3 linked regions of the Mus musculus genome follow. The protein of the gene in region 1 purifies or fractionates together with the protein of each later gene. This does not show direct contact. Links are inferred from orthologs where the notes say so. Each region holds a gene or a part of one and is shown in the gene's direction. Other genes may lie near its edges.

Region 1 (3,995 bases):
GGCATCAGATCTCATTACTGATGATTGTGAGCCACCATGTAATTCAGGACCTCTGGAAGATCAGTAAGTGCTCTTAAACACTGAGCCATCTATCCACCCCCCCCCACTCCTTTTTTCTTTTTAAGATTTGAGTACACTGTAGTTGTCTTCAGACACACCAAAAGGGGGCACTGGATTCCATTACAGATGGTTATGAGGCACCATGTGGTTGCTGGGTATTGAACTCAAGGCCTCTGGAAGAGTAGTCTTAACCGCTGAGCCATCTCTCCAGCCCTCAGATGTTTATCTTAATGTGGCTTTATTTTATTTTGTCACTGTTCTCCCGTTACTCCGGGACTACACCTCAACATATTAAAAAACAGAAGGGAAAAAAAAATGCTACTCTGAAACCTAGGAAAGTCACTTCACCTGTCTTCAGTATACTTACCATAAAACGAGGAAAAGATTACCTACCAAGCCGGGCTGGTGTGGGGTGAAGGACCTTGACTTATTTTTAAGTATAGATAGCACCCGCAAGCACAGAAAAGAAAACAAAACAAAACAAAACAAAAAACGCTGCCATTACTTGGAAATGATAACATAGCCCTACCGGCGCTGAAGCCCTGGGATCGCTCACGGCAATGGCCGGCTTGCCTGTACAGCACCTAAGTAAGTCCAATGGTGGGCGCCAAGGCCGAGGAGCGAGTCTGCAGCACATCTTAACCCGCGCCACTTTTGCACCGCCGAAAATCCTCCTCAGAAGCATTACCACAGGTACTTCCTGCGCTTCGCCTCAGCGCCGGCTGCGGCTACGGCTGCTGCTGCGCAGGCAGAGAAGGCGGGAAACACGAGGCGTTCTCTGCGCGCGTGCGCTCTCTGCCAGAGCCAACCGTCTTCCCAGTACGCTTGCGCCTGTTCACCAAGCCCGTCCCTCCCACTCTCTCATCAACCAGCGCGCGGAATTGTTGGGGTCCCTCCTGTCGGGGGCAGGGCCTGGACGCTGAAGGGCTGAGGAGAAGGCGCGCACGGGAAGGCGGGGTCAAGATGTGACCACACCCATCGCTGGTCATTTGACGCCCTCACCCTCGACTCTCCAGCACTAGCCAATAACAAACCTCCCTATACCAAGCGTCAACCAATGGGCTGTGCAGTCGGCTGCTTCCGGCTCTGCGCCGCTTTCGCCTTTTTCCCCTGGGCTCTCTGCGACAGGCGGGGCTCCGGGTGGCGGGCGTAGGCCTGGATGATGCGCGGCGGGCAGGGGGCCAATAGGGGGCGGGATCTGAGATGATAGACGGGTCCAGCGACCAGTGGCGAGGCGCCGGCCGTACTTCCCGTCGGGGAGAGAGTGTAATATGGCGAAGACCTACGATTACCTGTTCAAGCTGCTGCTGATCGGGGACTCGGGGGTAGGGAAGACCTGTGTCCTGTTCCGCTTCTCCGAGGACGCCTTCAACTCCACATTCATCTCTACCATAGGTAGCGGGGCCTTGGGCGGCCGGTGACCAGGGCTGGACGCGCCCCTATGGGGCTGGGCTGAGGGATCGACTCAGGATCCACTCGGGCCGAGGATCCGGGAGGGTCACGGGGCTGGACAGAGAACCGCAGCGGCCTCCACCTCCCGCCAGGGAGTCCAGGCCGGGACCCTGGCGGGCGCCGGAGACCAAGGTGCAGACAGGGACATGCAGGCTGCAGTCTGAGGAAGAGCCTGCCCTGGGGTCCTGGCGCCTGTCAACTCTCTGTGTCTTTACATCAGACCTCTACACTGTTCTTCCGGGGAGACCCCCGTCTTCCAAAAGTGGAAACTGAGGCATGGAGGTGACACCTGACCTCGTAGTTTCCTATGTGGCAAGCTTGGCATGTGCAGTATCAAATCTGTAGTGTACTCGTGATGGGTGCTTTGTCCCTGGAGGAGGAATTTGAAACTGAGGGAGGGTGCGGCACGCACTGAAGGTCACAGTCTACAGGTATTAGGGATGAGATTTGAACCCAGGTGTGTCTGACTCCAAAATTCAAGGTTCAGCTGTTCCAGAGCTTCAAAGGACCAGCACCACTGATCCACATCTAAGTCAGGACTCCAACCCAAAGTCCTCCTGCCTTCTCTCTGAGGAATGGTGACAGTATCTGTCATCCTGGTGGGAATACAAGAGAAAAAGTTCCAGTAAGAAACTAAGTCCAGCCATGGCTACGTGCAGCCTTGACTGACTTCCTTTCACTGGGCCAAGAACACCACCTGAACAGCTTTTCCCCAGGGCTGCCTCACGGCACAGTTGAACAGAATTGGCTTGTGATGGCCCCAGTTCTGACGTCAAAAATGGTGCTGACCATGCTCCTTACCATGAATAGTCATGGCTCACATTGAGTGTTACCTGGAAGTAAATCCTGCCAAACAGAGTGACCTGGATGGTGTATGGTCCTGAAACAAGAGAATAGTCACTAGGCTTGGTTTATCCCTAGTCAGGATGTGGTTCCATTGTTGGAACCCTGGGTGCCATCTCCAGCACCCTGAAACCAGATGTGGTAGTGAACACCTGTAATGACAGCACTAAGGACAGGGAGGCAGGAAGATCGGGTGCTCAGGGTCATCCTTGGCTACATAGAGTGTTCAAGGCCAGCCTGGGCTGCATGAGACCCTGCCTTGGAAGGAAAAGGGAAACTGGGGGATGATTTCTGTGTAATGTCAACTAAGTTGTTGTCTCCCTGACCTGACCGTCATGTGATAATGCCATCTAATATCTCCTTCCCAGTCAGTGTTCTGAAGCAGTCGTGTGTCAGGCGTCAAGTATAGGGAACTGGACAGGGAATCATCATACTTGAACTCTAGGTTGAGCAAGCTCTAACCCTCACTGACCCAATTTTATTTAGAGTAGATATGGCACTGTCTGTCTTGTCTGGTGCCCTGGGTGGTTGAGGATTAGATCTATACAACCAGTGGAAGGTTCAGTCTGGAGGAAGCAGAGGGTTTGGGCACAGGTGCATTTAAAGCCTCTCCCCCCACACACACCCCCACCCAAACACTCAGCTTTGGAGTTACCCTCAGGTGAGGACCAAGCAGGAAGTGACAGTAGCTACCCACAGGCTCTGGTTTGTTCTCAACACAGACCTCAGTTTCCCATCCTCAGACACTTCCTAGTCAACACCAACATGGTGACATTAGTTCAGGGGTGTTTTGTTGTTGTTGTTCAATTTGGCATGCATGCATGTGTGTGAGCATGTTCCTGTGTGCATACAGGAACAGTCGGGGTTATTCCTCAATCTTCACCTCATTTTTAAAAATTATTTTATTGGGAGTGTATGTGTATGCTTATGCACATGTATGGGTCAGAGGACACCTTTTAAAGTCTGTTCTTTTCCTCCCACCATGTGGGTCCTGGGGATTGATCTCAGGTTGTCAGGTTTATGGGTGAGTACCTTCACCCACCAAGCTATCTTTGCTTGGTCTCTCACTGATCCTGGAGCTCACCAAGTTTGAGGCTGGATGACCAGCAAGCCTCAGGACCCTTCTTTCTTGTCTCACCAGTGCTGTAATGTTATGTAAGTTTATGCCACCATGCCCAGGTCTTCATGCTTTTGTGGCAAGGACTTTAGGGATTGAGTCGTGTCCCTAGCCCTTGTTTGTTTGTTTGTTTGTTTGAGACAGGCTAGCTATATAACCAGGCTGTTCTGGAACTCATGGAAATCATCTGCCTCTGGCTCCCAAATTCCAATGTCAAAAGGCAACTTACAGGAGTCAGTTTCCTCCTTCTACTGAGTAGGACCCAAGAATTGAACTCAAGTCATCAGGCTCAGTGGCAAGCACCTTTATCCACTGAACCATCTTGCTGACCTGTATTGCTTATTTTGCATCTCATATATGTTTGTTCAATTTTTCTTTTTGAAATACTGGGGATGGAGCCAAGGGCCTCAACACAGGTCAGCTACACATCCTTTTCCATCTGGCTGGCTTAAAACATTTTTTTTAAGTTTTTTTTTTTTTTTTTTAATATAGGTGAGTACAATTGTCACTGTGTTCAGACATA
Region 2 (4,142 bases), on another chromosome or scaffold:
TGAAGGTATAGATTATTCATTGATTCCAGAATCCCAGCTCTTACTGTGTGTGGAACCTTGTGGAACCATCTGATCCATGTCAATGTGTCTCCTAGATCCAGGCCTTCAATGTGACTGGTGAACAGTTCTCCTATGCTAGCGACTGTGCTGGTTTCTTCTCTCCGGGCATCTGGATGGGTCTGCTCACCACCCTCTTCATGCTTTTCATATTCACCTATGGTCTGCACATGATACTCAGCCTAAAGACCATGGATCGCTTTGATGACCACAAGGGCCCCACCATCACTTTGACCCAGATTGTGTGACATACACCTGAGAGGAATTGAGGGAGTATTGGTGTCTAGGTTGTCATGTTTCTGTTTTGTGACACAGTGGATGGAAAGGTTTGTCCTCTTCCTACTATAGCATGAACCCTACATACGCCACCCTCAGTCTCTCTTGCTTCCTCTTTAACCCGGAGAGGGACTCCCCTGTGGCTATCCCCCATCTCTACCAACAAAGTGTATTCTTCATAGATATTAGATAAATCTTCCAGGCTTCATCATCAAGAGGGGAAGGGACCTTAATTCTAGGGTCTCCCCTTTACCCTCTCTCCTTATTTATTCTTGCCCCTCTGCTATTATTCCTTGCTGTTTATAGTGCTTTTGTGTAGTAAATGCTCACTCCCCAAGCTTTATGGAGCTTCCAGCAACAGCCATGAACTTGAGGTTCCTTGAATTTGCGAGGTGTGGAAAGACTACTTGACTGTCTGTCCAGCTTAGCTGTTATGTTTTTTGGGGGGGAGGGGTGATGTGTTAAGAGTGAGTGGTACACTGGGGTTTATTTCTGTGGCCTGGGAAGGAAGAAACCATCACGAGGATTGGTGAACAAAGTGTGCTCACTGGGTTTCTGGATTATTCCCATAAAGACTGCCTGTCAAGAGGCCGGAGGTGTGTGTGGGGGGTTGCTCTGTTGTTTCCTTCCTAATAAAATAAAGACGTGTTGCCTTGTGTTGGGCTTCGTGTCACTCATTTCTGCACTGAACAGTAGATTTTTTTTTCTTGACTGAAGGGAAGAAGTGCTCAGATGTAGTCCAGTCATGCAAGAGGTGAGAGAGGAAGGGTGGGAGGGTCTTCAGTAAGCTGATACTCTTAACAAACCTACTTAGAGTAGAGGCTTGTTACTTTTCCTGGCCTTGGGAGGAATCCTGACAATGGTAGCTCCGCTACTGTGCAACAACACACAGCAGGGCTTCCATACCTTGTGTTTCTCCCAGGGGGCGGTACGGGAGCGCGCGGGGCGGGGCGGGGCGCGCGCGGCTCCCGCGCAAGGATCTTTCGGAGGACTCAGCACCTGCTGCCGGCCTGCCCCGCCCCGTATTTTTCTGGGCTCACGAAGAGCCCCGATAACCCCTGCAGTCATTCTGGTGCTGGGACCCAGGTGACAGAAGCCCTCCCAGAAAACAAGCAAGGAAATGATGACTGGTTGGGCGGGGCGGGGCCAGCGGAGAGAGAGAGGGACTCATTAACGCTGCGTAGGGATCAGGAGACAACCGACAGACGCCATCTTTGGTTCAGTGCGGCGGCAGTGACAGAAGCAGCGGCAGGGGCAGCAGCAGCAGCGGCAGTAGCAGCAGTAGCAATAGTAGAGGTAGTGGTAGCGGCTGCTGTGGTGAAGGAGGAGGAGCAGAGCGGACGCTGGTACCAAGGCCTGATCATGGATGAGGAATACGATGTGATTGTGCTGGGGACAGGTCTTACCGTAAGTGCCACTTCAGGCTCTCATAGCCCTGCATCATGCCATCCCTCCCCACCCCACGCCATCCCTCCCCACCCCACTCCATCCCGCATTGATGCAGAGTCCGGTATCCGATCCATCCTCCCATCATCCTAGCTCCAGCCCTGGGAAAACCAACCCCATGCCCAACCCACTACCTCACCCTAGGATGTCGATTCCAGTTCCCAATTCTCTGTAGAGGGCCCCACTTTGTCCTGTGTTCCTGCACTCTAGTACTTAACCTCAGACCCCTATTCTTCCCTATCTCTATCACCGAGGTGGAAAACTCACCCCCCCACACACACAGTGGAACCATTGCACCCAGCCCCCACCCTTTGCCTGAACTCATCACCTGCTCCAAGGCCTTGATTAGCATCCCTTACCATCTTGTGATCAAACTAGGGGATGGAATATGAAGATGGGTATGGGGACATTACAAGGGTGGGCCCTCATCATGCTTTTCTGCTTTTTGGGATGGGATAGGAAACCCATGGAATGTTCCAGAGACAGCAGGAGTGTGTGTGTGGGGGGTGTGGGGGGGGGGTAGTGACCACTTTACCTCTGCCCCAACTTGGTTTCCCATGGAGATCTCAGACTGAATATATATCCTCAGCCTTTGTCCTTGGGTTAGTGACTGACTGGTGAGGGTGTTTGTCTCTTCCCTGCCCCCGCCCCCCCCAACCCCCACCCCCGGCCTAAATCTTTTTAGTTTGAACCCTGAGTCTAGACCAGTGGATAGGGCCAGAAGAGAGTCAGGGGCTCCTGCCCTTTGAAGGAGGAGCAGGGTGGGGCCTGGGATTTCAAGGACTTGGCCTTCTCTTTCAAAGGTCCTTTGAATTGGTTCTTCTTGTAGACTCATTGTCTTTTTGTGGGCTCAGAGAAGTAGATACTTCTCTTGGCTTGTTGATGCTGGAAGACTTGGAAGCTGAAAGCTCTGCCCCCCAAACCTCCTTTAATGCTCCAGTAGTTTACTCAGCAGGGTTGTAAAGGAAACATCATATGAAGCCATCTTCTCCTCCCCAGTTTTAGGCACTGAAAAGAGCTGCATTATAAAATTGGTGGTGGGCATGAAGCAAGTTGGAGGGTTATGGGGTATAGCTGCAAATGTCACTCCTTCCCCAGGAATGCATCCTGTCTGGCATCATGTCTGTGAATGGAAAGAAGGTGCTGCACATGGACCGAAACCCCTACTATGGGGGTGAGAGCTCTTCCATCACACCCCTGGAGGAGGTAAGATTTCTTATTCTTAGACCTGGGCTTAGACCCAGATCCTTGTTAGTCTTCCACATAGGTATAAGGGGGCGAAGTAATTCTCAGGTACTGGGCAGGAGAGTGGGAAAGGGCGACAGGTCCTTGACATTTTTCTTTCTTTCCTGTCCTGCTTACAGCTATATAAGCGCTTTCAGATACTGGAAGGGCCCCCTGAATCAATGGGCCGGGGCCGAGACTGGAATGTTGACTTGATCCCCAAATTCCTCATGGCCAATGGTGAGAGAGATTAAAAAGATGCTGTATATGGTTTTGGGGGTGGTGAGTGGGAAGACGGAGTGGGGAGAGATTGGTCAATCTCAAGAATATGGTCAGTCAGACTACTGAGAGTTTTTGAAGGAAAACACAACAATGTCCCTTATTTCCTCTGGACACAGGTCAGCTGGTAAAGATGCTACTATATACAGAAGTGACTCGATATCTGGACTTCAAGGTGGTAGAGGGCAGCTTTGTATATAAGGGGGGCAAGATCTACAAAGTGCCATCCACCGAGACTGAGGCCTTGGCTTCTAGTGAGTATGAGTCTCCTTAACCAGAGAATAATGGGGCTGGATGAGACAGACTATTTTCAGGACAGTTAGGCAAAAGGCTCATCTTTGCCTGAAACTAATCTTAGCTCTGTGTAGTCCTAGAGGACCCTTACTTTATAGTGTATTGATTGGACAGTGCTACCCATCCTGGCAAGTTGCCAGAAAGTTCACAGAACAGGATTCCTTTTTGTCAGAGGGCCTACTTGCCCTGTAGCATCCCTACGTGGAACTAGAAGGGTTTCTTCCTACAAAAAGAAAATTGAGATCAAGAAGGGTGGGGTAGTGTTACATGATAGAGTATTGGTGGGAGCCAATACTCTACATTACATACAACCAGCTTTCTTGGCCTGCTCTGGTGGAAAGAGGAGTTCTATGTCCCAGTAATGCTAAGGGTCTTCTCAATACCTTTCTTTCAGATCTGATGGGCATGTTTGAAAAACGACGCTTCCGAAAATTTTTGGTGTTTGTGGCAAACTTTGATGAGAATGACCCCAAAACCTTTGAGGGTGTTGATCCCCAGAACACCAGCATGCGTGATGTCTACCGGAAGTTTGACCTGGGTCAAGATGTCATAGATTTCACTGGCCA
Region 3 (4,345 bases), on another chromosome or scaffold:
CTGAACTCTGGCTGGATGGTTCAACTCAGCTGTTCTGGTTCAAACTCCTCTCCAAGCTGACTGATTCAATCTGGCTCCTCTCTGCTTCTTCCGAATTGCTCTGCTTGACCTTTAACTATAGCAATCTGTTTTGGTTTTTCGCCTCTTCTTTGACTCATTCTGTCTTTACTTGTGTCTAATTTGTCCTCTCTGCAACCTGTCCCTTTATAACTGTCACAGTAAAACTGCTTCCTCCTCCTCTTCTGTACTGCCTCTTAAATAGCTTCCCTTCCCTCTCTCTTTTGAGAGCTGGGTATAACCTGGCAAACCTTTCTCTGATTCAGTCAAGCCACTCAATTAGACATCACTGTTAAACATGGGTGCTTCCTTCTAATAAACTAGTTTTACCTTTGGAATCAAAGGTGTGCACTTAGGGTGTGCCTGTATTCCAGCAAGATTAAAGGTGTGTGCTAAGGGCCGAGGCACAGCACAGCTAGTTCAAAGCCAGTGGAGCTTGATGTCCAAGGGGCCTGCAAATGTTGCTTTAATGGTCCTGAGGGTTACTGGAAGGTCTACTTTGCACCCTGACAATTCTGTTGTCCAAACAAAACAAAACAACTCTGAAATTAATTAGATTCAACAAAGTTTTAACAAGGATCAGGATCCAGAACCAGGCAGCACACCAAAGATGGTTCAGAAGCCCCACCTCTAGTGTGGTAATTGCATGTAGAGGCTGAAACACAGCAAACATACAAAATATAGTGCAATTCAGCATTTGCCTTTATAAGCACATTTTGGCAGCCTTCAGCCTGAGAGACTAGTTGAAGCCCAGTTGCTTGGGTACCAGGGTTATCAACTCTTAAATTTATAACCTGCTTTGCATCACAAGCTAGAATGCGGAGCATTATATAGGAAAGCCATTCTGGACCACATTTTACCTAAAGCATGGATACCAGTTTAGAACACATTTATTTGTTCGAACAGAACCATACAAGTTTAAAGCAGGGCACACAGAATCCTGAGGTCTTCCCAGCCCCGCGCGGGCAGGGGCAGGGGCAGGGCCAGGAGCCAAGCTGCAGAGGCAACGAGGCTGCCAACCTTCGGAGAGGCTGGCGTCCTCACGACTTGGCCCCGCTCGGCCAGGGCGATGCACGTACACCTCTCAAAGTCCCAAGGGCGGAGCTTGGGCTCCGTGGCCCGAAGCCTAAACAACCGTGCTCCATCTCACACCTTGGCGCGAGAGTCAGGCACGTGGTAGCCCAGCTGCAGTTTCCGCCTTGTTCCTCCTATTCAACTAGACCCTCAGCTTCGCATGTCGCCGCCCATACCACAGGAGCACAAGACGGGTGAAATTTAAAAAAAAAAAAAAAAAAAAAGCGCAAAACCGGAAGCCAAGATGGCAGCAGTCCGCCCTTCTCTCGCGAGAGGGGAACGAGGGGGGGAGAGGTGGGGTTAAGGAAATTCACCAATGAGAGAGCAGGATCCCCTTGACTGACGGCGCCGTCGGCCTCTCGCACGCCCCGCCCCGGCGCCGGAGCTCGCTCTCCTCACCCCGCGCTCTCCCCGCCTCCCCTCCCTCCCCTCCCTGCTCTTCTCTTCCCGTTGAGGTGGCGGCCGGCCTCTCCTCCTCCTCAGCTCCGTTTTTCCTCTCCTCGCTTTTTCCCTTTCCCCCCGACCCCCGGGGCCCAGAGCGGCCGGACTTCTCGCTCCCTTCTCTACGGCGGCCTCCGAGCCCCCGCGTGCGCTCCTTTCCCCGCCATGAATGAGGAATACGACGTGATCGTGCTGGGCACCGGCCTGACGGTGAGCTGCGGCGGGCTGCGGGGAGACGCGGCCGGCCGGCCTCCGCCGGGCCCGGGGGCGAGGGCGGGTCCCATCGGTGTGCACGAGCCTCGCCCGCGCCCGAACTGCCGGTGTCTGCGCCCCCTTGGGGGCCGTCCCCACTCGCCCGCGTTGAGTCTGGGATAGGGAGGTCGTGGCTTGTTGGGATGCAGTGATTTGAAGGCGTCGGTAGTGTGTTAGGGAAAACCAGGATGTGGAAGCCGGGACGTGTCCGTGGGAAGCCTGCCCATTGGGAAGTTGAGGGCAGAACCGCCCAGCAGCCGGAGAGAGACAGCCTCGTCCTCCTGCAGGAAGGAAGAGGACCGGGAAAACAGCTTGTGCTCCTTGCACTTCCCCTTTGGGTGAATGACCTCTCCCGCTTGGAAGCAGGCAAGCCCTGGACCGAGCGGGAGGGAGTCGCTGCTGGCGCCTGCACTTCCTATGTAAGTGGCGAGTAGCAGCAGCAGCAGCAGCAGCAGCAGCTTACTCAGCTAGTCTCAGGGCGCAGAAAGCCAAACAGAAGGATGATCGCTGATCGATAATTTGTCCTAGAGTTTGGCCAACTTAAGTTTCTAGAGAAAATCATGAAACGAGTTTCTTTAGGAAAAAAACAAACACCCTTTTTCTAATTGCTTCACTGCCCTCTCATCCACTCGCTTGAAATGGGAAATGAATTTTCTCAAAACTTGTCTGTTAAATACTTTTCACGTCCGGCCCGTGCTTCCCTTTTGTTTGGTTTATTGCGTGCCGCCACAGTTTCTTGAGAAGGGGGAGGCTAAGTTCTCTGTACTTGTTACACTTCTGGGAGGTTAGAAAATAAATGCGCAGTGTGAATGTACTGGTATGTAAATGTAAGGCGGTCCCTAATGCTCCAGTACGTTTTCGTCAGTATCTATCTGCTTAAATATGGGAAAAATATAGACAGGTTTTTATACTTTGTGCTTTCCCCCCGGCCCCCCACTGTGACAAAAGGGCTGATCTTTTGCAAAAAGGAGTTGGGAAGAGAACCGACCATTTTGAATATCAATTGCGGTGTGTGTGTGTGGGGGGGGTATTGAATGTGAAATTATGGGTAAATTACTTCATCTGGAACATTGATGTATGGATCCCATATGTCTATCCATCAAATGTCCAAGTCATTTAATAAGAGCCCCACGGCTTTCGACTTTGTTGAAATGCATTGGCATTTCTTTCTTTCTTTTTTTTTTTTTTCCTCGAGACAGGGTTTCTCTAAGTAGCCCTGGCTGTCCTGGAACTCACTTTGTAGACCAGGCTGGCCTCGAACTCAGAAATTCGCCTGTCTCTGCCTCCACCACCGCCCAGCTTGCATTGGCATTTCTTAGAATCAAATTAATATCTTTAAGATAAAATACTCGGAAATAACTGTTTTAGAGAAAACCTTCAAGATTTTTTATTCTACTTTTTTTCTTTTAATACTTTTAGGAAAAGCTTATTTTTCTCTTTGAAGTGATGAATGATTGCTAGAAGAGATTATTGAATTCTGACAAGTTCTCACCTTGTAGCTCTGGTTGTCCAGGAATGCAGAGCTCTGCCTATCCCTGCCTTCTGGGTGTTGGGATGAAAGGCAAGGCCAAGATGTTCTGCTCAAGGCTCAGTAACATGTGACTGCCCAGAGAGTAGACTGGAGATAGACATCATTGCTCACCTACAAGGCCATCTACTTAACTTTGAATGAATGACTGAATTTCTTTTATTTTTTTGAGGCAAGATCTTTCTCTGTAGCCTAGCTATACTGGAACTCCCTATATAGATCAGGCTGACCCTGAATTTAAAAGATATTTCTACCTTCTAGCCTTCCCAGTAGTTGGTCAGTGCTTGGATTAAAAGGCACATACTGTCACACCCAGCCATTGGAACACCCACCCCCCACCCTCAACCCCGTCAGTTGGGGAGACTTGAATGGCTAAATTAATCACTACCCAGGGCTCTCTGCAGGTTGACCTTTTTTAGTGCCTAATTGGGGGTTCCGGGCATAGTAAGTAGTTTGTGATGGTGGCCTGTTAGTGGGCCCTGTGGCTGCCAGCATATTGTGAGAGCCAATTATTTCTCTTTTATATTGTCATTGCTAATACTTCACATTTGCCCATTAATAGGGTGGGTTGAGTGTAGCTAAGTGAGCCCAGAGGCTTCCTGCAGGCTTCCACAGGCCTAGTTTAGAAGCATCATTTTGTATCAAAGATAGCACAGTCTGTTTAACAAAGTAACACCCTTTATTTAAATTTTCACTTGAATTGTGAATTTCTTAATGGGTAGTGGATACATAAGTAACTAGAATTTAGAACAGTTTCTGCTGTCTTACAGCTATGCTAACCTTGTTTCTCACTGGGCCTTCCTAGATCTATACTGGGAAATGTTTTAGAATTGTATCAGTGTAGCTTGTGATCATCATAGGACCATCATTAATAGACACAGTAATAGCAGAATGATGTTGACAATAAGAAATGACATTAGTAGAACTTGGGTGAAATCTTGAGTTAGGTTAAATCTTGAAGAGACTCCCAGTCAAAGTTAAAAGCCACAAATT

What was found. The genes of interacting proteins can lie anywhere in the genome.
Region 2: the proteins of Rab8a (region 1) and Gdi1 purify together in Homo sapiens (co-immunoprecipitation; 6 studies listed by BioGRID and IntAct, counting the BioPlex papers as one, with this or other methods). This does not show direct contact. The link is inferred for Mus musculus from reciprocal best matches to the Homo sapiens genes RAB8A and GDI1.
Region 3: the proteins of Rab8a (region 1) and Gdi2 purify together in Homo sapiens (co-immunoprecipitation; 5 studies listed by BioGRID and IntAct, with this or other methods). This does not show direct contact. The link is inferred for Mus musculus from reciprocal best matches to the Homo sapiens genes RAB8A and GDI2.

Annotation. Positions count from the first base shown.
Region 1 is NC_000074.6:72,160,028-72,164,022, forward strand, and holds the start of Rab8a (ras-related protein Rab-8A), read left to right. Parts: upstream 1-1,172; 5' UTR 1,173-1,331; coding exon 1,332-1,455; intron 1,456-3,995. UniProt on the Homo sapiens protein: The small GTPases Rab are key regulators of intracellular membrane trafficking, from the formation of transport vesicles to their fusion with membranes.
Region 2 is NC_000086.7:74,303,702-74,307,843, forward strand, and holds the start of Gdi1 (rab GDP dissociation inhibitor alpha), read left to right. Parts: upstream 1-1,310; 5' UTR 1,311-1,695; coding exon 1,696-1,740; intron 1,741-2,877; coding exon 2,878-2,985; intron 2,986-3,143; coding exon 3,144-3,243; intron 3,244-3,401; coding exon 3,402-3,536; intron 3,537-3,970; coding exon 3,971-4,142. Other genes in the region: Atp6ap1 (V-type proton ATPase subunit S1 isoform 1 precursor), read left to right, coding at 96-305. UniProt on the Homo sapiens protein: Regulates the GDP/GTP exchange reaction of most Rab proteins by inhibiting the dissociation of GDP from them, and the subsequent binding of GTP to them. Promotes the dissociation of GDP-bound Rab proteins from the membrane and inhibits their activation.
Region 3 is NC_000079.6:3,536,562-3,540,906, forward strand, and holds the start of Gdi2 (rab GDP dissociation inhibitor beta), read left to right. Parts: upstream 1-1,513; 5' UTR 1,514-1,737; coding exon 1,738-1,782; intron 1,783-4,345. UniProt on the Homo sapiens protein: GDP-dissociation inhibitor preventing the GDP to GTP exchange of most Rab proteins. By keeping these small GTPases in their inactive GDP-bound form regulates intracellular membrane trafficking.